Linked DNA regions of Arabidopsis thaliana. The protein of the gene in region 3 interacts with the protein of the main gene of each other region in a biochemical or structural test. Each region holds a gene or a part of one and is shown on either strand. Other genes may lie near its edges. The genes, in order: HEN1, DRB4, HYL1 and SE.

Region 1 (7,563 bases), on a different chromosome or scaffold from region 3:
AAATATGGTGCACTCCTATGTTATTAGCTAAAATATTCAGATTATAATTCAGAGTCATATCATAAATAAAATTAATATTAATAAAATAAATGGCTTTTTGGCAAGACGGATTTGGAGAGACGGGTTTTTGAATCAACATTAATAAAAAAATAAAATATAATTAATCCACTGTTTGAATACGGGTTAAATCTTTAATTTATTATTTTTTAAGACCACTAATATTAAACATATCAAATCATCCTAATTTAGAAAAGATTATATAAAACCAAAAATGTTATGTGGTATGTATAATGTTACTATATATAAAATTAAACTATAAAATATAAATGTGTTAGAGAATGATACAATTTGCAAAACTTTTATATATAATAAATAATTCTTAAATTTTAAAAATTATTACTTTAAAAAAATATTACGGGACGGGTAAAGGAATTACAGAACGGGTTTTATTTTGGAATTGGGTTATATGGTGGATGTATTTGAATCAATATTTATAAAATTTTAAAATATTATTAATATGCTGTTTTACAAGGGGTTAAACTTCAGTTTTTTAACAATTGTCTCATGGATTCGTGGTATAGCGTTACTTAATAACAATTATAAACTGTAAAATATAAATATTTTATAAAAATAAAATTTGCAAGTTTTAATAGATATTACTTTAAAAAAATAAATCATCCCGCGGTATACCGCGGGTTAAAATCTAGTTCTGTTTAAAATCTCCATGTTTCTTCCTTAATCACACTTTTACTTTTGGTCATATGATATGACTCATATTTTAGTGTTATGCATTCATTACATGACATGGTTTTCTTCAAATTTTGGCTACAAAGCACAAGAAATGTGAGAATACCAAACATTAAGGTTATGATTCGTAACATTGCATAATAGCATAACGGTATAAGTTGCATAATAAAATATGTAGAATGAAAAACCGTAGAATCAAATTACTTAAAAATATATGTTGATTGGATACATTTTACAGAACGACAAATAAAATATTATATCAACAATATATATTTATACTAATAAAACTGTTTTTAATAAATTTTAAGTAATATTTGATAATAAAAATATAAGATTCTTAAAATCTATTAAAGAGTTGTGAAAATGCTGATTAGAGATTTTGAAATGAAGTAAGTAAAGATATGGTTAGTTATTTGGTTGTTCGGATTTTTAGGGAATATTATTTCGTGTAATATTGAATTAGTAGAGATTCAAGGGATTAATGTGTGCAATTTATGAGGGTAGTGCAAAATAATATTTTTGTTTAGGTAAGTAATTAGTGCAAAACGTGAATAATTGATCAAAAATTTGGTCATTGTCATAAAGAAGACAATCTTGTCTGATTGATTTTGTAGGGACTAAACATACAATATCGAAATTGAAAAATGATTTTTCGACACAAATCTTCCCCAAAAATGTATATGTAGATTATTAATAACATAATTTTTGTGTAAATAATTATAGTTTTTTATTGTTTAAAATTGTTAGTATTTAAGATGCGTAAAATAATAACAATTTCTTATGCGAATAAAAACTATATACCCATTTTTTGCATAATGAATTTTTACTTGTAAATTTAAACAAAAATACAAATTGTGCGTTTTTACGTTTTCTTATACAATTATGCAAATTTTCTTAATATGAGAATTTTTTTACATAATTACATTAAAAAACGCCTTACCAATCAGAGCCTTAAACCTATAATAACTTCACACGTAAATGGTATTTATTTTCTTCTAGAAAAAGAGAATGGTGGATAGGGGAATAAAATAAAAAGTTGGAAAAAGAAACGATTCTACAACATGTAATGACCAAAACACCCTCCTTCCTCCCTCTAAAACCCCATTCTCTCTCTCCCACTCTCTTTTTCTCTGTTGCTCTCTCCTGAGTTCTTCTTACATGAAAGTCCGCTGAACTCTTTAGGTTCGTTGTCGATTATTCTTGCTTTATGTTTGTGTATTTATTTTTTGAACTTCTGGGCTCTTTCTGAAATTCAATTTCATTGACCCATCTTCTCTGTTCATGACAATTCGTTTGTCCTAATGTTACACTCAAAACCCTTTTTTGTTGTTTATACCCAAACCCTCTATCTATCTGTACTTCCTTGGAACGAAATTTTTTTGCTTTGACTCAATTTCTTTCTTAGAATTAGAACATTGAGAATGTTGGAACTCAAATAGATGTTGGTTCGATTTTGAACTTTTTGTTTATTTATTAATGTTTTCTATGGCTCTGATTTGAATTGTCAAGTTTAAGACATTCTTCTTCTTCTCTTAGATACCCTAATTTCAGGGGTATGCACATTTTGCATAAAAGTTCCAATCTTTCCTGATCGTTGACAATATTTATGTGTACCCTTTTGTTTGTCTCAGTGTGTTAAAGAAGCTACATTGTGTTTGTGATGGCCGGTGGTGGGAAGCATACTCCTACTCCAAAGGCGATTATACATCAGAAGTTTGGTGCTAAAGCAAGCTATACAGTTGAGGAAGTTCATGACTCTTCTCAGAGTGGTTGTCTAGGATTAGCAATTCCTCAAAAAGGTCCATGTCTCTATCGTTGCCACTTGCAGCTACCTGAATTTTCTGTTGTGTCAAATGTCTTCAAGAAGAAGAAGGATTCTGAACAATCTGCTGCTGAATTGGCTCTTGACAAGGTATGCTTTGTTGTTTATTATATATATATATATATCTTATGTAATTTATTCTCTCTTATGTTAACGAAGGCAAGACTATTCATGTTGCAGCTAGGCATTCGCCCTCAGAATGATGATCTTACTGTGGATGAAGCTAGGGATGAAATTGTTGGACGCATTAAGTATATATTTTCTGATGAGGTTAGTTGATGAAAAGAAAATTTTGGTTTCTATTATTTTGTAGCTGTAACGACATCCTCGTTAAACATATTACCAGTTATATCGCTGGACCAAAAGGTATCTGGATGTCTAAATAGGAAGTGGTACTGGCATTAATGTTTGTTGCGATTGCAGTTTCTTTCAGCTGAGCATCCTCTGGGAGCTCACCTTAGAGCGGCATTGCGAAGAGATGGTGAACGTTGTGGATCAGTTCCCGTTTCTGTCATTGCTACAGTTGATGCAAAGATTAACAGTCGTTGTAAAATTATCAATCCTTCTGTGGAGTCAGATCCTTTCTTGGCCATTTCCTATGTTATGAAGGCTGCTGCAAAGTTGGCAGACTACATTGTTGCATCTCCGCATGGACTCCGAAGGAAAAATGCATACCCTTCAGAAATCGTGGAAGCACTAGCTACTCATGTATCTGATTCCCTACATAGCAGAGAAGTCGCGGCTGTATATATACCATGTATCGATGAGGAAGTTGTTGAGTTAGATACTCTTTACATTTCATCAAACCGGCATTACTTGGATAGTATTGCTGAAAGGCTCGGATTGAAAGATGGCAACCAAGTGATGATATCCAGGTGATTATATTGTCTTTTTTCTATTAGTAACTGGAGCTTTCTTGGTGTTAATCTGGTATGAAAGTATTTTTTTCTTTTCAACAGGATGTTTGGCAAAGCTTCCTGTGGCTCTGAGTGTAGATTGTACTCTGAGATTCCAAAGAAGTACTTGGATAATTCATCAGATGCCTCTGGTACTTCAAATGAAGACTCATCTCATATTGTAAAATCTCGGAATGCACGAGCAAGTTACATTTGTGGTCAAGATATTCACGGGGATGCAATCTTGGCATCTGTTGGTTACCGATGGAAGTCCGATGATCTTGACTATGATGATGTAACCGTAAATTCATTTTACAGGTCTCTTCTCTCCTACCGCTCAGTTTTATGTCTGATTTGTTTCCTTTCCACATCTTCTTCTAGAATAAGGATTTTAGGAATATTGCATTGGTGTAACGTCTACTAACTCTGAAGTAATGCATTTGATGTTTGTCTTTGCCTTCCGATGAAGCACTGCATATCTTATTCTTATCATGCACTGATGCATGACATTGGCTTTGTGGCTGCTGCAGAATATGTTGCGGTATGTCACCCAATGGAATCTACAAAATTTCCCGACAAGCTGTAATTGCTGCACAGTTGCCTTTTGCATTCACTACAAAATCTAATTGGAGAGGTCCACTCCCCAGGGAGATTCTCGGCCTGTTCTGCCACCAGCACCGACTAGCAGAACCCATCCTTTCTTCATCTACTGCACCTGTGAAATCGTTGTCCGACATATTCAGATCTCACAAGAAGTTGAAGGTCTCAGGAGTTGATGATGCCAATGAGAATTTGAGTAGGCAAAAAGAAGATACACCAGGACTAGGGCATGGGTTTAGATGTGAAGTGAAGATTTTTACAAAGTCTCAGGATTTAGTTTTAGAATGTTCACCGAGAAAATTCTATGAGAAGGAAAATGATGCCATTCAAAATGCTTCATTAAAGGCCCTCTTATGGTTTAGTAAGTTTTTTGCTGACCTGGATGTGGATGGAGAGCAATCATGTGATACAGATGACGACCAGGATACTAAATCTTCAAGTCCTAATGTTTTTGCGGCCCCACCGATTTTACAAAAGGAACACAGTTCTGAATCAAAAAACACAAATGTGCTGTCGGCAGAGAAGCGTGTTCAATCTATAACAAATGGTTCCGTGGTTAGCATATGCTATTCTTTGTCTTTGGCAGTGGATCCTGAATATTCGAGTGATGGTGAATCTCCAAGAGAAGACAATGAAAGCAATGAAGAGATGGAGTCTGAATATTCGGCTAATTGTGAATCCTCAGTAGAGCTCATTGAAAGCAATGAAGAGATAGAGTTTGAGGTAGGGACTGGATCCATGAATCCACATATTGAATCAGAAGTTACTCAGATGACTGTGGGTGAATATGCTTCATTTAGGATGACACCCCCTGATGCTGCTGAAGCTTTGATTTTGGCTGTTGGTTCTGATACTGTGAGAATCCGCTCGCTCCTATCAGGTAATACTTATAATGTTTACATTTGTTGTAGGATAAATTTCTGAAAACGATTTTCTGGTTGAAAAAAAAAAAAAAGGTCTTTATCATATGTTAGACATTTGAACTGCCTTCACCAGTGAACTTAGGTCTAGTCTTACTAGTAACTACAAAGCTCTGGTTCTCACTAATACTAAAAAGAGGCAAAGTTATGTAAGAACCTCACGTAAAGTCTTCTGGTGAAACTTAGGATTGATTTAAAGTCTTGTCCATTTTATTTTTTCTATTCTTTCTGTTATGGAATAATGTATTATTAGCATTTCAACTTTACTGTGTCAGCTCTAGCTAGTTAGATGAATCTGTCGGTCTCTTATTTCTTTTTCAAATCATAGCCAAAATTATCAAAGCTTACATGGCTGTAAACAGAGGATGAACAAAAATTAGACCTATATCTATGACTAAGTTAAGAGATATCATGAACATTTAAATGTGATAGTGATGGATTTCTCTGCTTTTTGTGCACAGAACGTCCATGTTTAAATTACAATATACTTTTGTTGGGAGTGAAAGGGCCATCAGAAGAACGAATGGAGGCGGCTTTTTTCAAACCTCCACTTTCAAAACAACGTGTTGAATATGCACTGAAACATATAAGAGAATCATCCGCTTCTACTTTGGTAAGCTCTATATATCTTAATGTCTTCCTGCTTACTAGGATTATGAATTCAAGACTTTGTTAAAACTCATTTGTTTCAGTCTCTTTTTGTCCTTATTGGTAAATCTTTGACAAGCATAAGATGGCACCTCTATTCTTGTTACAGGTTGACTTTGGATGCGGATCTGGAAGTTTATTAGACTCTCTACTTGACTATCCAACTTCACTTCAAACCATCATCGGTGTTGACATTTCGCCAAAGGGTCTTGCCCGTGCTGCTAAGGTCTGCAAAATCACACATCACTGTTTTTTATTCCCGCTCGTAGACATAACTTGATGAGACTAATGCATCAAAATAATTGATAAATGTTTGATGAAGAATGTATTTGCACCACTCATGATTCTCTGCATTTTGTGTAATTGAAAAGAAATGGTAGATTTACTTATGCTTTTGTGTATCTTGTGTTTCAACTTTAGATGCTACATGTAAAACTAAACAAGGAAGCTTGCAACGTCAAATCTGCTACACTTTATGATGGTTCCATCCTTGAGTTTGACTCCAGGCTGCATGACGTTGACATCGGCACTTGCTTAGAGGTCCACCTCTCATCTGCTCTCTAATCCTTCAAATTTTGTACACGTTTATCAAAAGCAATCTGTCTGGTTTCGGCGTTAAATCTATAATCTGTTCCTAATCTGTAGGTTATTGAACACATGGAAGAAGATCAAGCCTGTGAATTTGGGGAAAAAGTTCTGAGCTTGTTCCACCCCAAGCTCCTGATTGTCTCAACACCAAACTACGAGTTCAACACAATTCTCCAGCGGTCTACACCAGAAACCCAAGAAGAAAACAACTCGGAGCCACAGCTTCCAAAGTTCAGGAACCATGACCACAAATTCGAGTGGACAAGAGAACAGTTCAATCAATGGGCATCAAAGCTCGGCAAACGCCATAACTACAGCGTCGAGTTTAGCGGTGTTGGTGGGTCTGGTGAAGTAGAACCCGGATTTGCTTCTCAGATAGCTATTTTTAGACGGGAAGCTTCATCTGTTGAGAATGTTGCAGAAAGCTCAATGCAGCCTTATAAAGTCATCTGGGAGTGGAAGAAAGAAGATGTAGAAAAGAAAAAGACTGATCTTTGACTAGAGTAGTATCTACCAGAGAATATATATATTGCAAGCAATGTGATGACGTGTTCATCTATAAAACTCAAAGCTCGTTTAGTTCTTTTGCCATGAGCTTTTGCAGATTAACCATAAAATCGAACCTTTATGTTTACAAGATCCTTTTGTCTCCAAGTCTACTGGTCCGTTGAAGTTTAAAGATTAGATCAGTAGATTACCCTTTTTGCCCCTACGTTAAAGTTTGTTTATTTAAATACAAGTCCTTGTGATTTTTATCACTTTCTCACTTCTTCAACGACACTGATTCGTTTTCAAAGCATTTGCGTTCTTGATCTTTTTCACGAGGGCGATTTCTGAAGAACACGAGAATTTGAATTCTGGGAAAAGCTTTCTCGAACTTTATCTGAGTAAATTGACAGAGAGAATCGAAAAAGAAAATGTGTCCCTGCGTAGAGCGTCGTGCTCCACCTGGAGTTTACTATACTCCGCCGCCGGCGAGAACAAGTGATCATGTGGCGGCGATGCCGATGACGGAGAGGAGGAGACCACCGTATTCTTGTTCTTCGTCGTCGGAGAGACGTGATCCGTTTCACATTGTTCATAAAGTTCCTTCTGGTGATTCTCCTTACGTCAGAGCCAAACACGCGCAGGTATAATCAATTTTCCCGCGAAAACAAGACAGGGGAATTTTTCTTTTGACCTAATTTAGGAATTCTAGATTCTTCCTCATGTGATAAAATCTCTTAAAAGCTTTTCAAATTTTGAGTGATCTTCTTGAACCTGTCTATGATTGAGGTTTTCTAACAAATGGATATTGTTTATGTGGAAGAACAGTTGATAGATAAAGATCCGAACAGAGCTA
Region 2 (4,364 bases), on a different chromosome or scaffold from region 3:
ATCTCTTATGCAACGAAGTGATAAGAAGAGTGAGTATAAATCCTTCTATGATAATATTTATTTCATCAATGGCTACGAATATATGGTATATATGAAACTGTTTATAAATGGAAGATGAGCTAGTTGTGTACGGAATGAGGTTTTGGTACCTTACATCGAAAAAGCTACATTATGTAGTTTTGTCATCGCCATGAGGCCCATGACCATATCTCTTTTCGAATCCATTTTTTTAGTTACCTTTTTCTTTATTCACGACATGGCTACTTTCTTTAGGACGTGCGTGAGTTCTTATATACAACATAATCACGTAATGCGTGAGCATTTATGAATACAGCTAAAGAATTGAATCAAACTCACATGAATTGAGAGAACAAAGTATATGTGGTTATGACGATTCACATGATTCCTATGAAACAATGCTCTTCAACACAAGAATCTAAGGATTGCACACCAGCGAGAAGATGACTGAGACACTAATAAGAGAAAGCTAGAACTCTGAACTTAAAATCATGAATGGAGATGATAAAAAAGGACTTCTGAGCAAATGCTGTGGACACTCATGAATGGGGGTAAATCTTGACAGATTGTGTAGTGGTTTTCATTGGAAAATGAACCATACTTCTCGGACCCCGTATCAACAATATAGGTTCTATTTTATTGGTTTGAAAAACTAGAGTGACCATCACGGCTTCAATCTTCTCGCGTCAACTCTATTTCAAACTTCCCATCAGACTCTGTGAAACAATCGGGGACAAGGAAATCTAGATAGATGACGAAACCTAAGCTTATGTAGGAAATAATTATATTTCAATCTAACAATAAAAGTGACATGGATTTGAAAATGATACAAAAGATGGGTCTCTACGACAAGACAAGGCTTCTAAGATTTGAGAATGACACAAAAGATGGGTCTCTACGACAAGACAATGCTTCTAAGAAAAGTAGAAAAGTGAGGTCTACAGTCTAACATACAACATAATCAATATTAGCCATGGATGTAAGTGAATTCTGTAATTCTTGTTTTGAAATGGACGAATCTCATCCAAAAATGTATGTAAAGAGCTTCTTATTGATTCAACTTGGCCGTGAAAAGAGAAAACAAACAGAGAAGCATAAAAAGGATCCACCTTTCCCGATCAAACAAAACGAGTAAGGGAGAAGTAATCCAATTTCAGACTTACACTCATACAGATTTTTTCCGAAGCATCTCCTCTGATGGAAGCTCCAAAGTAGCTCCCGCGTGTTCCTGACTTGCTTTCATCTCTACGACACAGAAAAATCAAATTTCCAAAGATATGAGCTTTCACTCACGCATTTCAACAAACAGATGGTGCGCAAGATAAAAAGAGTCAGAACGAACCATATCCGCCGCGTTCGTTGAGTTTAGCCTGGACGATCATGGTGGAAATGAACTGCGTCGCTTCACGCGCCTCTTCTAGAAGGCGAGTGATGTCGGAGTTAGAAGCCACGAGGCGATTCTCTTCGAATTTCTTACGGATCTCGGACGCCGAAGCTTTTAGCATCTCGGTATCTCCGGCGAATGATTTCTTTGTTGCCCTGAGCAGTGCTCTGTACGCGATCAACGCTTCTCCGGTCACCATTTCTGCTCTTTCCCCTTTCAACCTCCGCCGTCGTCTCCCTCCCAAAATTGGATTTAGAAATTTGGTCGCCGACAACCTTCTGATCAACTTCGAGTTTCATTGGGCCTTTACAACTTTCATGAATAAGCCCAATTTTGGCCCATTAATGGATTATTTCGGATCATACCCGTTCAAGCTGGGTTAACCCGAATCTTTCGTATCCTTGAGACAATTTACATGTGTATACTTATTATGGTTTCTCGATGAGTTTCAATCAGCGAATGCTTTGTCTGATTGTTCACTTCCTCCCTCGAAGTGTCTTCACCATTTCAAAGAGGTACGATTTTGTGTTTATAATCGTAGATTCCTTTCGCTGTTTTGATGTTATCGATCTGTACGAAACCCTAGATCATTGAGTCTGACCAATTCTGAAATTCGTCTCTTCGTTTGCCATTTATGTTTGAGAAATTCTGATACATGTTGTCATGTTGATCTCTTTATGTTTGGTTGACCAATTCTGAAATCTGAAATTCGTCTCTTCGTTTGCCATTTATGTTTGAGAAATTCTGATACACGTTGATCTCTTTATGTTTGGTTAATTCCTGCCAGTTTAGATAGAGATGGATCATGTATACAAAGGTCAACTGCAAGCGTATGCCCTGCAACATAATCTGGAGCTACCAGTGTATGCGAATGAGAGAGAAGGGCCTCCTCATGCTCCTAGATTTAGATGTAATGTTACATTCTGTGGACAGACTTTCCAGAGCTCTGAATTCTTTCCGACACTAAAATCGGCTGAACATGCCGCTGCAAAAATTGCAGTTGCTTCTTTGACGCCACAAAGTCCAGAGGCTAGTTCCTCACACTCTTTTTGGACTACAAGTTATGTGCTTTTTCAACATTTGTTTAAATTTTGATTTTCAAATTTTTGTTGTTTCAGGGAATTGATGTTGCCTACAAGAACCTGTTACAAGAAATTGCACAGAAAGAGAGTTCTCTGTTACCATTTTATGCAACTGCTACATCTGGTCCATCGCATGCGCCTACTTTTACTTCAACTGTTGAGTTTGCTGGTAAAGTTTTCAGTGGAGAAGAGGCGAAAACCAAAAAGTTGGCTGAAATGAGCGCTGCTAAAGTTGCATTCATGAGTATCAAAAATGGGAACTCGAACCAGACCGGATCGCCTACTTTGCCTAGTGAGAGACAAGAAGATGTAAATTCAAATGTGAAGAGCAGTCCACAAGAGATCCATTCTCAACCTTCTTCCAAGGTGGTGATGACCCCTGATACCCCATCAAAGGGGATTAAAGTGAATGAAGATGGTTAGTTTTCTTTGAATACTACACTACATGAATAATCCGTTGGTTTGTTTGTTAAAGGAAAAACTCTCTTTCTTTGTTATAACTTGTGGTCCAATCAGAGGGACGTATTTTCCTGAGATAGGTAGGAAACAGCTATGAAATAAGAAAGCCAACCTTACTTTAACTGCATGAAATGGATTCCAATTTCAGTTTAATGCTAAATGGTCAAGATGGTTAATTCATTCAAAACTCATGCTCTACAGTCTTGATTCTGTGCAGAATTTCCAGATCTTCATGATGCACCAGCCAGTAATGCTAAGGAGATTAACGTTGCTTTGAATGAGCCTGAGAATCCTACAAACGATGGTACTCTTAGTGCACTAACTACTGATGGTATGAAGATGAACATTGCTTCTTCTTCTTTGCCTATACCTCACAATCCTACAAACGTTATTACTCTTAATGCACCAGCTGCCAATGGTATCAAGAGGAACATTGCTGCTTGTTCTTCGTGGATGCCTCAGAATCCCACAAACGATGGTAGTGAAACATCATCATGTGTAGTAGATGAGAGTGAGAAAAAGAAGCTCATAATGGGAACTGGCCACCTGAGTATACCAACTGGCCAACATGTAGTTTGTCGCCCATGGAACCCCGAGATAACTCTTCCTCAAGACGCGGAGATGCTCTTTAGAGATGATAAATTTATAGCCTATCGTCTTGTGAAGCCATAACGACATCATCATCTTTGATGCATAATAAGTGTAGAGATAGAATGTTAAGGTAAGCTATATCTCATCTGTTTGTAGAAATAGAATGCTTCTCGTCTCTGGTTTTCTTAAGCAATATGCTATGTAGTATGTATACTGTGTAATGACTAATTTTTGTTTTAAAGCATTGTGTTTATTAGAAACAAGGCGAGATTAAATGTTAATAGATTATGGAAAAGCTTAACAGAATAAATATTAAATAGTAAGATGTAGACATAAGCAAAACCAGCTAGATAAGTAACCGCTTCAAGTAGAATATTTGTAACGATAACCGAATATAATTAGAGACACTAGAGTAGAGGTAAGCAAAATATTTGGGAACAGCAATTCCATCACGATATTAGATATTCGAGACCGGTGCGGAGATGTGCTGATGATTTTCGGAAGACATTCAGGTTGTACATAGCTAAGTCCATATTGGTACCCACAAGTGCTGATTTTCCGAACAGATCCTGGTTGTGAACGAAGCAGGGTGTGCCAGCAGTGCCAAGGCACAGAGTCCTTATTTTCTCTCTTAAATTTTAGGGTCCTAATTTATAGGAATTTTTATTTTTCTAGATAAAATTACAATGGTTGAATAGAACTACAAGTGTATTACGTTTACAAGAGACAGTAAACACTGCCACGTAAACTAAAATTTTTTGGATTTAAAGGTTTAAAGGGGATATTTTTTTTTTTAGCACAGAACCCAAAATAATATTGAGTCGGGCCTG
Region 3 (5,094 bases):
GCTGAACCATTTCCATTCATCCCCTCGGTAGATGTAACTTTCTGAAGACAGACCGGAAAGTTGATATTCATCCCTCTTGACGACCAAGGAGACTCTGATGGTTCCTGAGAACCCTCAGGCAAAGCATAAGGTATGTTTATAGTCAAGGGAGCCTCAACTGTTGAATCGTCGAGTATATCAGACTCACTTAGAACATATGAAGCAGCCATCACCTGGGAATACAAGAGAAACGAAAACTTAATGATATTTGGATAAAATGGGAACTCTGGATAAGCACAGATTGATATGCAGAACAAGTAACCAACACACTAATCATTAAGAAAACAGCAAGGTGTTATCCTGAATAGAGCCTAGGGACTTCAGATTCTGAAATTCTGTCAAGGGAATGAAATCTATGATTCCGTTCTTACTTTGACATGTGCAATAGCCTCCACTGATGCTTCATGGCTGACTGCAGGAGAAGCTTCCAATTCGCACTCCATGTCACTATCGTCGTCCTGCACAGGCAACTTTCGTTTAAAAAATCTGTAAACTACACCAGCGAGAGACACTCATCGATCCCTAATGCTACCAAGAAGTTTTAGTATCCACTGCCACATAGAACATAAACTAGTATTTCATCACACTCACTTCTAGATGATACTGATAACACAAAGTAGTAGTGAGTTTTTATTGAAGAAAACTAACTAACTCTACAACATAAACTTGAGTCTTTTACAATTCATCAAAAGTGGAAAGAGGAGAGACAGAATAAGTACCAGAGGTAGAGCATCATCTTCCACAGGGAGGAGAGGATGCCGATAAGAAAGATGACGCCATAGCAACTGGTACTCTCTAGCATTAGTAATTCCGGTAGTGGTCTTCTTCACCAACGCATTCCAGTCCATCTTGGTTTCGGAACAATAAGATATCTCCTGTAGCATTCTCAGTATCGTCTCCATATCATATCTGCGTCAATAAATCAAAAACCCCGGCCACACTGACTAAACCCAAATCCACTAACGTTTTCGGAAAGAGAAAACAAAAAAAGGAGATATTTTTACCTCAGCAAAAGAGTGGCGATGTCGCCTTCAGTAATGATTCTCTTCCTGCGATTGCTACTAGTATTATTATTAGCAACCATCTTCGTCGTATTTATTGCAACAATTCTGCAGAGAACAGGACAAAGGAATCAAATTTCACCAAAACCCGAGGGAGTTATAGACGAAACGAAACGACAGAGACTTACGCACGAGGGAATGCCCAAGAAAACCGGTGAAGACGATCGGAGAAGAAGATGGTCACGACTGTCGAAGAGCGTGGAGAGTACTCGCGTGGCAGAGGTGTTTCGGAAGAGAGAAGAAAAAAAAGGAACGAAAAGGAAGGTGGTAAATTCGACTATTATTATTCTACGCTTATCAGAAGCGAAAAGTATGGGCTCAAATATTTTTCTTTTCTGGTAAAGGGATATAGGATCAAGTGGGCTCAAATATGGGCTCAAATATTTTTCTTTTCTGTTAAGGGACATAGGCTCAAGTGGGCTCAAATATGGGCTCAAATTGTTTTTATTTTTTATTAAACGGTTATTATCATTATTGATGTTTACTTGGAGAACAAATTAATTATTTGTGAATACAAAAACTGTGTGAATATAACAAAGGGATTACTAGTGAATAAAGTTAGCCATAAAAAGGTTAATCAATTGTGGATATATACATTAGTTAACTACATATGAAATACGAAATTAGGCTATATGTAATTAGTTTTTTAATTAAATTAAATATTTCAAAGATAAAAACATTTTGCTTTCATATAATATTCACAAGTAAATTATATTTATGGAAAATTTGACCAAAAAGGTAAATTTATGGAATATAATATAATTTATAAAGGTTTGAAATTAAATTCAATATTAACATTTGTAACATAACAATTAAGAACCACCTTCTTTCGTTTGCCCTTGTGAAAAAAAAACAAAAATAAAAATCAGTAAAGAGGAGGAAGTCGAGGGGAGAGGGTTTTTGGTGAAGAAGAATCATCTCTCTCTCTCTGCTTCTTCGCAGCAGCAGCACGTTTCTTTCTTGCTCTTCGCCGTGCCCTACTAACCTATTATTCGTCTCTTCAGCTACATTCTGCTCGTGAAAATGACCTCCACTGATGTTTCCTCTGGTGAATTACTTCTTCTTCTTCTTCTTCTTCTTCACCATCATGTCTGCATTATCTCTAATTCAACATTCATGGGTTGTTTTTTCCGGGTTTTAATTTTGAAACCAGATCATGCTTTTTCCCCTTTCTTCTGTTCTTTACTCACTTCTTTCTTCTTGGAAATTGGATTGCAGTGTTTTGATTAGTTAGAATTTACAAGTGTATCTGTCCCTTGTGGGTTTAAGCGTAGATCTCTCTGGCAATTGGCAAGTTTACTCTTTTGAGATGATGATTTATTGACTCAATTTGTTAGGGAACATAGAAGCTTGGTTTAAAACTGTCTCTCCCCTTTTGGATAAGTATAGTTTCTTTGTGAAAGTCGTCAGCTTTATTCAGAACTCGTTCACTGCTGTTCCCTGTTGTCGTTTTGAGTTTATTTGCAATTTATGCTGTAGTGGATAGCATCATCACTGTTTCTGTTTTATCTTTTGCCTCATTTTGAAGTTTTTTTCCTGCTCAGGTGTTTCCAATTGCTATGTTTTCAAAAGTCGGTTGCAGGAGTATGCTCAGAAGTACAAGCTCCCAACGCCTGTTTATGAGATCGTTAAAGAAGGCCCTTCACACAAATCTTTATTTCAATCGACTGTGATACTGGATGGTGTCAGATATAATTCTTTGCCTGGATTCTTCAATCGTAAGGCTGCAGAGCAATCAGCTGCCGAGGTTGCTCTCCGGGAATTAGCAAAATCCAGTGAGCTAAGCCAATGTGTTTCACAACCTGTTGTAAGCACCTCATCTTTCTTATTTCGCTCGTGATTATTGTTAAGTTCACTGCAAAACTATTGAACCTAGCCTAGGGGTTTAGCAGCGAATTGTAGCTTTGCCATCTCAGCAGTAGTCCTTATGCTTAGTTTGAGCGTTGAAGGTTTAAAGGGAAGCTCATGGTTAGTTTCAGAGTTGAAGGTTTAAAGGGGAGCTGTGAGAATACGTTAGGGGGCATTCTGTATTTGTCTAGGCTCTTGGTTGGACAATGATCGAGATTCAAGAGTTTAAAGAATCCACTCATTAATAAAGTGTCTTCTGTCTTATCGGATTTATGTGTATTGCCAACTTCTAGAGGGAAGATTCTTAGGCTGTTTCTGTAAGTTATTGCTCTTGTCTAACTTTGAATGGCTTATTAATGCAGCACGAAACGGGATTATGCAAGAACCTACTTCAAGAATACGCTCAAAAGATGAATTACGCGATTCCATTGTATCAGTGCCAGAAGGTCGAAACTCTTGGGAGAGTTACACAATTCACATGTACTGTAGAGATTGGAGGCATAAAGTACACAGGAGCTGCAACAAGAACTAAAAAAGATGCTGAGATTAGCGCTGGGAGAACTGCTCTTTTAGCGATCCAGTCAGACACTAAAAACAACCTTGCCAACTACAACACTCAGCTTACTGTACTTCCTTGTGAGAAGAAGACAATACAGGCAGCTATCCCGCTTAAAGAAACCGTCAAGACTCTTAAAGCCAGGAAGGCTCAGTTCAAGAAGAAAGCTCAGAAAGGAAAACGCACAGTAGCTAAAAATCCTGAAGATATTATCATCCCTCCTCAACCTACTGATCATTGTCAAAACGATCAGTCAGAGAAAATTGAGACAACGCCAAATCTGGAACCTTCTTCATGCATGAACGGGTTAAAGGAGGCAGCATTTGGGAGTGTGGAGACAGAGAAAATTGAGACAACGCCAAATCTGGAACCTCCTTCATGCATGAACGGGTTAAAGGAGGCAGCATTTGGGAGTGTGGAGACAGAGAAAATTGAGACAACGCCAAATCTGGAACCTCCTTCATGCATGAACGGGTTAAAGGAGGCAGCATTTGGGAGTGTGGAGACAGAGAAAATTGAGACAACGCCAAATCTGGAACCTTCTTCATGCATGAACGGGTTAAAGGAGGCAGCATTTGGGAGTGTGGAGACAGAGAAAATTGAGACAACGCCAAATCTGGAACCTCCTTCATGCATGAACGGGTTAAAGGAGGCAGCATTTGGGAGTGTGGAGACAGAGAAAATTGAGACAACGCCAAATCTGGAATCTTCTTCATGCATGAGCGGGTTAAAGGAGGCAGCATTTGGGAGTGTGGAGACAGAAGCAAGCCACGCATAACAGTGTCAAGATGGAGTCTTGTGAGTTTGTCATAGTTACTATATGGTTACGTAGCCATTTTGTGATTCCTATCTAGTCTAGTAGTAATTCACAGATTGAAGAGAAGTAATATTTGAGCGGAAAATCAAAACTAATATGATTGGTACAATTTGGTGGTCGATTGAGTCATTCGAATAAAGTAATGTGGGGTTGCAAAACAGAAGCTTCATATCTACATATAAATGAAAATTACTCTCAAACTTCATTATTTGTGGGCCGGTTATAAAAACACAAACCCAACAGAAGGTCCATTACCCTCACTCTTCATTATTTGTGGGCTGGTTCTAAAAAACAAAAGTCCAATAGAAGGTTCATTACCCTCACTCTTGATTATTTGTGGGCTGGTTCTAAAAAACAGAAGCCCAACTTGCTGACCCAACAGGTCCGTTTACGAAACCCTAATCTCAAAACAGAGATATAAATACACTCTGCCTTCCTCATTTCATTTCTTCGGCGATCTAGGGTTTTAGTTGTCGCACGAGGAGGAAAAATGCCAGCGGGTCATGGAGTTCGGGCGAGAACGAGGGATCTGTTCGCGAGGCCATTCAGGAAGAAGGGTTACATTCCACTCTCGACTTACCTGAGAACCTTCAAGGTCGGCGATTACGTCGATGTGAAGGTGAATGGTGCGATCCACAAGGGTATGCCTCACAAGTTCTACCACGGTCGTACTGGTCGTATCTGGAACGTCACTAAACGCGCCGTCGGTGTTGAAGTCAACAAACAGGTCTGATGAACTCTCCTATCTCTTCAGCTTTTGTGTCATTGAATTA
Region 4 (6,359 bases), on a different chromosome or scaffold from region 3:
AGTAGTAGTTATTAAATAATTACAAGGCCAATGATAGTTGAATTAGTAATAGTAACAGCAATCAATTAGGTTCATATCGACCTATAATTGTTCCTGAACTATTACTTGGTCTATGTATTGTCTTATAGAGTATCTAAACGGTATCTTGCATTTGCAGGGAGAGCTACAAACAGAATCTCAAGCAAAGAAGCAACGCAAATGATGTTGAGAGAGAGAAACAACCTCTGGAAAAGAAAACTTTGGAAAATGGTTGTTAACCTCATTAGAGCTCGTCTGTGATTAGTGTTGTTAGATTTACGATACAATGCCTTATGTGTAATTGTAACATGTGTAAGTGTCACGTCATCTACGCAAGTGTGTAGAATCTGGTAGGCATTGAGCCAGGCTTTGAAGTGTATATATCCTTCTTATTTACATTGAACCCTAAAAACCTGGATTCTTGTGGATAGTCATTCGTTTGACTGCAGATTATATTTAATGGCCATGGAGATTTAAGACTGCCATGGAGACTTAAGTATTGATAACAAACAATGTGGATAAAACGCATTATTCAATACAAGAAATTCTCATGCTATTTATGTAATCATCGTCGAACAGAATTAGTAAGAAAGCACATGAAAAATTTTGAAAAACAATAAGGAAATGTATGGAGTGCGTATTTTACGCTTTAGTGAGTGAAAATTGGGAGGAACAAGACATAATACATCAAAAGGGTAAGAAAATGCCACAATCTGCTAGCTTTGCCTTCTAATACTGATGCCCTTTAACCCAACCCGAACCAGTAAACTCGGGATCTCTCTAGCCCTGTCTTGTCTACAAGCTCCTGTAATCAATAACGGTCACTTCTTCCTCTGGAGCATCTAGGTCTTGGTAGCTGCACCAAATTTCTCATACATTAGTACCTTAGAGACACTGCACTCTTGATCATAGGGTAATGGACTCATAGCACAGAGTGAACTACGTTACCTGCGCAGCCGTCTAGGATCTTGTCTAAAGGCCGGAGACAACAGAAAAGGGGCAGGTCCACCTCTCCCGCTACCTTCAAAAGGAGGGTTGGGTCCACTTGGGTCCCTGAACATCTGCATAGCAACTTCAGGTGGTGCTGGTACAAATGGTCCCAGTGGCCTGACCACATCATCATTCAGACACATTAAGATCATTGATTCAACACAGTAACTAATTTATTCTGAAAACAAGATCATGAAGGGAGTGAGTAATCTTTATTAAACCTACCCAGCACCAGGAACAGGCATCAGCATTGGTGGTGGGTTTATATCCGATAAGAAGGGAGGAACATGAACACCACCTTGTCCACCAAATGCATCATACCCAACTTCCCCAGGATTTCCACCATCATTATCCCCTCTCTGTTGATCTTCTGACCGATCATTTCTGTCATTTCCATTAGCACGTCCATCACGCTCTCTGCGTCCACCTCTATCATCCCTCAGTCTGTTCTCCATGCTGGGTTTACGTCTTATAGGTCTATCTCTCTGTTGAAAGTATAATTAACCCACGTAAATAAAACTCAAACCAAGCTAAACAAGTGATAACCCAAAAGTACAGACTAGTCAACACTCCATTAAATCTCAAAAGAAGATCATGTACCGGGCCAGATTGCTGCGTGGCTGGTTGTCCTCCTGGAGCATTAGGATCACTGCAAATAGCACAAAAAAATTTCATTACGAACCTGTCAGAAACGACAGTAGAGGAATCCAAGAGAAAAAGCCTACATACTTCATATAGTTCTGAAAATACAGTTCTTCCCGAACTTTGGTAGTCAGCTCTGTGACAAGCTCAGTGTGTTTCAGCTTGAGATGCTTGTACACAAATTCAGCAGCATGAAACAGCTTCGTGCAGCCCTTGGCTCCACAACCATATTTCCAACCATACTTCTCATCTCTAATCTTTCGGACATGTGGATCTAAAGCTTCAGTAGCGGCAGCATCTATCTTCTCTTTGGCAGCCATCACTTCCAAGGGATCTTGACCTTTCAACCTCTCTTGCCAATGAGAGTCGAATTTACTTTCATTCTCATCTCCTTTTGCATCAGAAACTTTTCCTTCAGCTCTCACATGCCGCAAACCCTTAGCTTCATTTGTTTCAACCTTTCCGTAATAGTCCAGACCATGAACACGCCATAGATATGTAACAAGCGTGTCAAGTAATTCAACACCCTCAAGGCCTTTCACAGATGTCAACCCCCTTATGATTACAACTGGACCAGTAGAACCACTGTGTAACTTTTCTCTACCTGATTTTTCAGTTTCTGAACCTTGTAAAACATTTTCCTCAATTTTTTTCTCAGAGTCTAGCTTACGCACAAGGGCTTGTGTTTGTTCAACGTCAGTCAGGATTCTCTTTGGATCAGAGGTGAAACTGGGTGCTTTCGGTGCGGCTGAAAGAAGTTCATTCTCTTTAGCTCCACCCATACCATGCCTTTTTCTTTTACCAACACCAGCGGCTTCATCCTCAGAATTAGGCTCACTGGTCCGGCCGGATTTATTCAATGCTGTCACTGCAGGGCCTCTGGAACAGAAGGGAAACTGAGAGCGTTAGAGATGACAGAATTGTGATCAGTCACACATGTGGAATAAAGGCCAAAGAAATGATCTTACAAATCTAGTGTCCCGCTTTGTAAATCAAGTAAGAAATCCTTTGCCACCTTCTGTGCAAGGTCATTCCTCCTGAAAAATTTCAAAGGAATATCTATAGTTGAACAGTTTCTTTAATGAAAAGAAAATTAAAATAATAAAATCAAGGATGTATAGTATTAATATTACACTATTCAGGCACTAACACCGAATCAAATTGCTTCAAATGACTCTTGAACTCACCTTTCTATGACAGATAGTAAGTTTGTTGGATGATACTTATTTTTCAACCTGGTAGATGCGCAACATAGATACACATGTTATTAGGCTAGCTTGCAGAATATCCCAGAAGAATATAAAAGATGAAAAAAGATAGTGAAATCACCAGTCTTCCTCTTTGTGGGTGTTAAAAAAGGCACGTTTTTGTGTTGTGATATACTCTGACTTGTATTCTTGATATCTGCATCAGGAAAAAAGCATTACACCCGCAGCTTTATTATTAAATTGCTTAAGTAACAAGACTAAGTAGCAGAAATGATCATACCTGCGTTCAGCTTCAGATGGCAATATATCATCTTCCAACTCCTGGATAAATTGTTTGTATGACATCAATCCATCCCTGGGTAAAGGAATTACAAAGGTAGTATCGTTAAATGCAACAGCAAGGGAGGATACAGACAGCATCAGTTGTGTGCCACTATAATGGTGTCTCTCAAACATTCACTCTAACTTTCCGGAGCTATAAGGAAAAAAACATATATGTCTCATCGAAGAAAGAACATTCTACAAGGGATGTATCCTCCATTCATTGAGCACCATTAGACAGTTCGCAACTCTTAGTTTACACTAACTTGATTAAAAATACGCTACCAAGAATAAACACGCCATAGGAAAAAGACAACAAACCCATGAAATACAAAGAAAATTTTAAAAAACAAAAGAAGAAGGAACCTTAACCTTTGAGGATTTCCACTGTTGGAAGCATCACCATAACCTCCACGTCCTCCCTCCCAGTCTGCCATAAGTAACACACAATAAAAGGTAGATATTGACATCTTATCTTCTAATGTAAATCGCTTGTTTCCAATCCACAGCATACAGAGAGAAATATACGAAGCTAGTCAAATGAACAGAAGTCCACAAATAATAAGAACGCCCAATGATAGGTATCTTAAACATGTCTCACAAGACAGAAATCATACGAAAAAGTGGTAATACTGATTCTCTCAACTGTAAAAACATCTTAGACAGAGATGTCTCACCCTGATAGCGACCCATAAAGCGACCATGAGGCCTTTCATCACCATAACCAGGCCTCCCACCCATTTCACGGTCATATCCTCCACCATGGTCATACCCAAATCTAACATGCAAAGTAAAAATTGAGTACAGATTAGGAAATCTCGAAAACGATGGAATATAACAACCATCGATACAAGAGGATAATCAACAGTTATCAGCTAAGCAACAATGCAAACACAGTTCCCATATGACTTTGAATTATAATTCAATCGGTAACAAATTAACTCTGATGTAATTCCAATTGAAGTGTAAGCATAAGAAATGAAGATTACCTTCTATCGGGTGGTCCATAGCCACCACGAGGACTACCACGGCGACCATCATAGCCATTATCATCCCTCCGATAACGCTTTTGAGGAGGCGAGCGACGCTGAGGAGGAGAGTGTCGCCTATCTCTATACGGTGGCGGAGGACTCAAGCTAGGACGTCTCTTGTAATCCCTACGAGGCGGTGGGAGAGGCGAACGGTCACGTTCACGGCGATTAGGCGGAGGACGTTCGATGTCTCTCTCGTCACGACGCTCTCGTGAATCTCTCTCACGGCGTAGCGGAAGCTGCTGCTGGTCTTGTTCCTGTTCCTGCTGCGGCAGAGAAGAAGAAGGCGGTGGAGGAGGTGGTGAGGAAGAGGTTGATTTCTCAGGGAGACGGTTATCGACGGAATCAGACGGAGGAAGATTAACATCGGCCATTTCGTTCGGAACCCTAAATCGGAGAATGTACGATTTCACTCGAAGCCTCTGTGTCTCTCCCTCTACCTTTACGGGTTTTGCTGCTGTTACTGTTACAGTGAGCTTTATTTCCAATAGGGCCTTACTCTCAGAGACCCATCTTCGTCTTCATAAATAGGCCTTACTCTCAGAGGCCCATCTTCGTCTTTATGAAAATACAGTATTTGGATTTCTATGTTAATTATTTGTCCACACCTTTGACTATTCCTCCATTTCATCGAAGCAAAACTATTTTAATATTTCAGTCAGATTCTTTCCCATCATTTCCAGAAAAATTCTTCAAACAATTCTGTAAATTAAGCCAATAATAAGTCTTAGTATCTCTGTCAATTTGATAAGATTAGTTTCTATTTTTTATGGGATCACTATGGATTATTTTTTCATAATCTGTCTATGGATTTGATTATTAGTAAAATACTAAAATGTGAGTTGACATGTAACAAAATTGTTTTGTAAAGCAATTGACTAAGACCATAGATTAAGGATGTTTATCATAAACTAATGAATCCTTAAAAAAATAAAAAGACAAACAAAAAAAAGGTGTAAGAAAAGTAACCGGAGTAGAAATAACAACGGCAAGAGAAAGTTACCGTTTTTGGAGTCATCCGTCAAAATCGTCTTTACAAGCAAGCAAATGCTTTATTGCATGTTGGTAGTCACACACATACACACACAATCTCCTTTTTCTCCTCTCGCATAAGATTCCTCTTCTCTCTCTCTCTCTTCTCTCTACCCATCTGATTCGCTGCTGACTCACACACGACACAGACCACCTCTCTCCTTCTTCTTCGTCTCCTGTAGAAGAAGACGTTTTGTTTTCTTTTGGGTTTGATCCTCTCGCGTAACTCCAAAGCTCTCAAAGGACATCTCTTTAGGTATCACCGTTTCTCCATCTTACTGTTGTTTCTTCTACTTGTGTGAAAAATCTCACCTTTTCTAGGTTTTCTTCTACTCTAATGGTCCAATTTCATTTGGGTTTCTTTACCTTTCTATAAAAATCTCTCTTTTTTGTCAAATTCGTGCACTTTTCAGGTTTTGATTTTCGATTACTCTAAGAAAACTTCTTAATTTGTTCAATCAGTTTTGTGTTTTGTCTGCGGTATGACTTTGGTTATGCTCTCCTTATATTCTCTCTCGCCCTATTTTGGGATTCCGATTACGAAAAAGTTGCCTTCTTATGTGATTCTGATTGTTTGTCATCTATCCGATGGTTCTGTGAAAGTTTTACTCTTTCCATAAGGATTTTGCTTGAGGAACTTTAAACGGCGGAACAGGTTACTAAGTTAAGAGAATAGGTTAGATTGTGTTAGGATTTCAAAGTGGAAATTTGTTCTTTAATTGTTGATAGATAGTTGCTTTGAGGGTTTTTTTTATTTGGTATGTATGATTGATTTGTGTTGTGTTGGGAGCAACATAAGCTTGATTTGTATTTGTTGCCTTGGATTTAATTTATGTATCTTCGTTGTGTTTGCTTGGGATTTCTTTGTTTTTTTCTATATACGGAGGCATGAGATTTGAGTTTGAGATTTGAGAGAATGATCATGTCTCGCTAAATAGCAAATATCCTGCAATGCGTAATTTTCATTTGTTTTATATATCATGATGCAATTTGGTAATAAAGGGCACTGTTCTTCTCTCATATTCAACATGAATACAATGATACTCTCACTCACACCTTTGCATTAGATAACTTAGTGGAACAGATGACTCGCTATTACTTAATTCTCTCTTCTAGT

The links.
Region 1: the proteins of HYL1 (region 3) and HEN1 form a complex in vitro, tested with the Arabidopsis thaliana proteins (one study listed by BioGRID).
Region 2: the proteins of HYL1 (region 3) and DRB4 interact in far-western blotting, tested with the Arabidopsis thaliana proteins (one study listed by BioGRID).
Region 4: the proteins of HYL1 (region 3) and SE form a complex in vitro, tested with the Arabidopsis thaliana proteins (one study listed by BioGRID).

The regions. Positions count from the first base shown.
Region 1 is NC_003075.7:11,185,420-11,192,982, reverse strand, and holds HEN1 (double-stranded RNA binding protein-related / DsRBD protein-like protein), read left to right. Parts: upstream 1-1,859; 5' UTR 1,860-1,929; intron 1,930-2,163; exon of another isoform or gene 2,164-2,378; 5' UTR 2,379-2,407; coding exon 2,408-2,659; intron 2,660-2,749; coding exon 2,750-2,839; intron 2,840-2,992; coding exon 2,993-3,444; intron 3,445-3,528; coding exon 3,529-3,783; intron 3,784-3,995; coding exon 3,996-4,945; intron 4,946-5,446; coding exon 5,447-5,598; intron 5,599-5,742; coding exon 5,743-5,859; intron 5,860-6,053; coding exon 6,054-6,173; intron 6,174-6,278; coding exon 6,279-6,719; 3' UTR 6,720-7,047; downstream 7,048-7,563. Other genes in the region: MS5 (Tetratricopeptide repeat (TPR)-like superfamily protein), read left to right, coding at 7,139-7,351, 7,536-7,563. UniProt on the Arabidopsis thaliana protein: Methyltransferase that adds a methyl group to the ribose of the last nucleotide of small RNAs (sRNAs). This protects the 3'-end of sRNAs from uridylation activity and subsequent degradation.
Region 2 is NC_003074.8:23,225,000-23,229,363, reverse strand, and holds DRB4 (double-stranded-RNA-binding protein 4), read left to right. Parts: upstream 1-1,851; 5' UTR 1,852-1,917; intron 1,918-2,189; 5' UTR 2,190-2,200; coding exon 2,201-2,431; intron 2,432-2,520; coding exon 2,521-2,902; intron 2,903-3,160; coding exon 3,161-3,615; 3' UTR 3,616-3,838; downstream 3,839-4,364. Other genes in the region: AT3G62810 (complex 1 family protein / LVR family protein), read right to left, coding at 1,184-1,263, 1,361-1,601. UniProt on the Arabidopsis thaliana protein: Double-stranded RNA-binding protein involved in RNA-mediated post-transcriptional gene silencing (PTGS). Functions in the trans-acting small interfering RNAs (ta-siRNAs) biogenesis by binding and assisting DICER-LIKE 4 (DCL4). Required for DCL4 activity.
Region 3 is NC_003070.9:3,137,148-3,142,241, reverse strand, and holds HYL1 (dsRNA-binding domain-like superfamily protein), read left to right. Parts: upstream 1-1,888; 5' UTR 1,889-2,123; coding exon 2,124-2,148; intron 2,149-2,644; coding exon 2,645-2,907; intron 2,908-3,310; coding exon 3,311-4,282; 3' UTR 4,283-4,593; downstream 4,594-5,094. Other genes in the region: AT1G09710 (Homeodomain-like superfamily protein), read right to left, coding at 1-212, 411-497, 759-948, 1,044-1,123; AT1G09690 (Translation protein SH3-like family protein), read left to right, coding at 4,812-5,048. UniProt on the Arabidopsis thaliana protein: Double-stranded RNA-binding protein involved in RNA-mediated post-transcriptional gene silencing (PTGS).
Region 4 is NC_003071.7:11,570,812-11,577,170, reverse strand, and holds SE (C2H2 zinc-finger protein SERRATE (SE)), read right to left. Parts: upstream 4,775-6,359; 5' UTR 4,585-4,774; coding exon 4,169-4,584; intron 3,958-4,168; coding exon 3,857-3,957; intron 3,610-3,856; coding exon 3,552-3,609; intron 3,214-3,551; coding exon 3,139-3,213; intron 3,055-3,138; coding exon 2,980-3,054; intron 2,886-2,979; coding exon 2,838-2,885; intron 2,688-2,837; coding exon 2,619-2,687; intron 2,530-2,618; coding exon 1,738-2,529; intron 1,658-1,737; coding exon 1,609-1,657; intron 1,494-1,608; coding exon 1,234-1,493; intron 1,126-1,233; coding exon 967-1,125; intron 875-966; coding exon 814-874; 3' UTR 513-813; downstream 1-512. Other genes in the region: FRS3 (FAR1-related sequence 3), read left to right, coding at 158-202. UniProt on the Arabidopsis thaliana protein: Acts as a mediator between the cap-binding complex (CBC) and both the pre-mRNA splicing and primary microRNAs (miRNAs) processing machinery.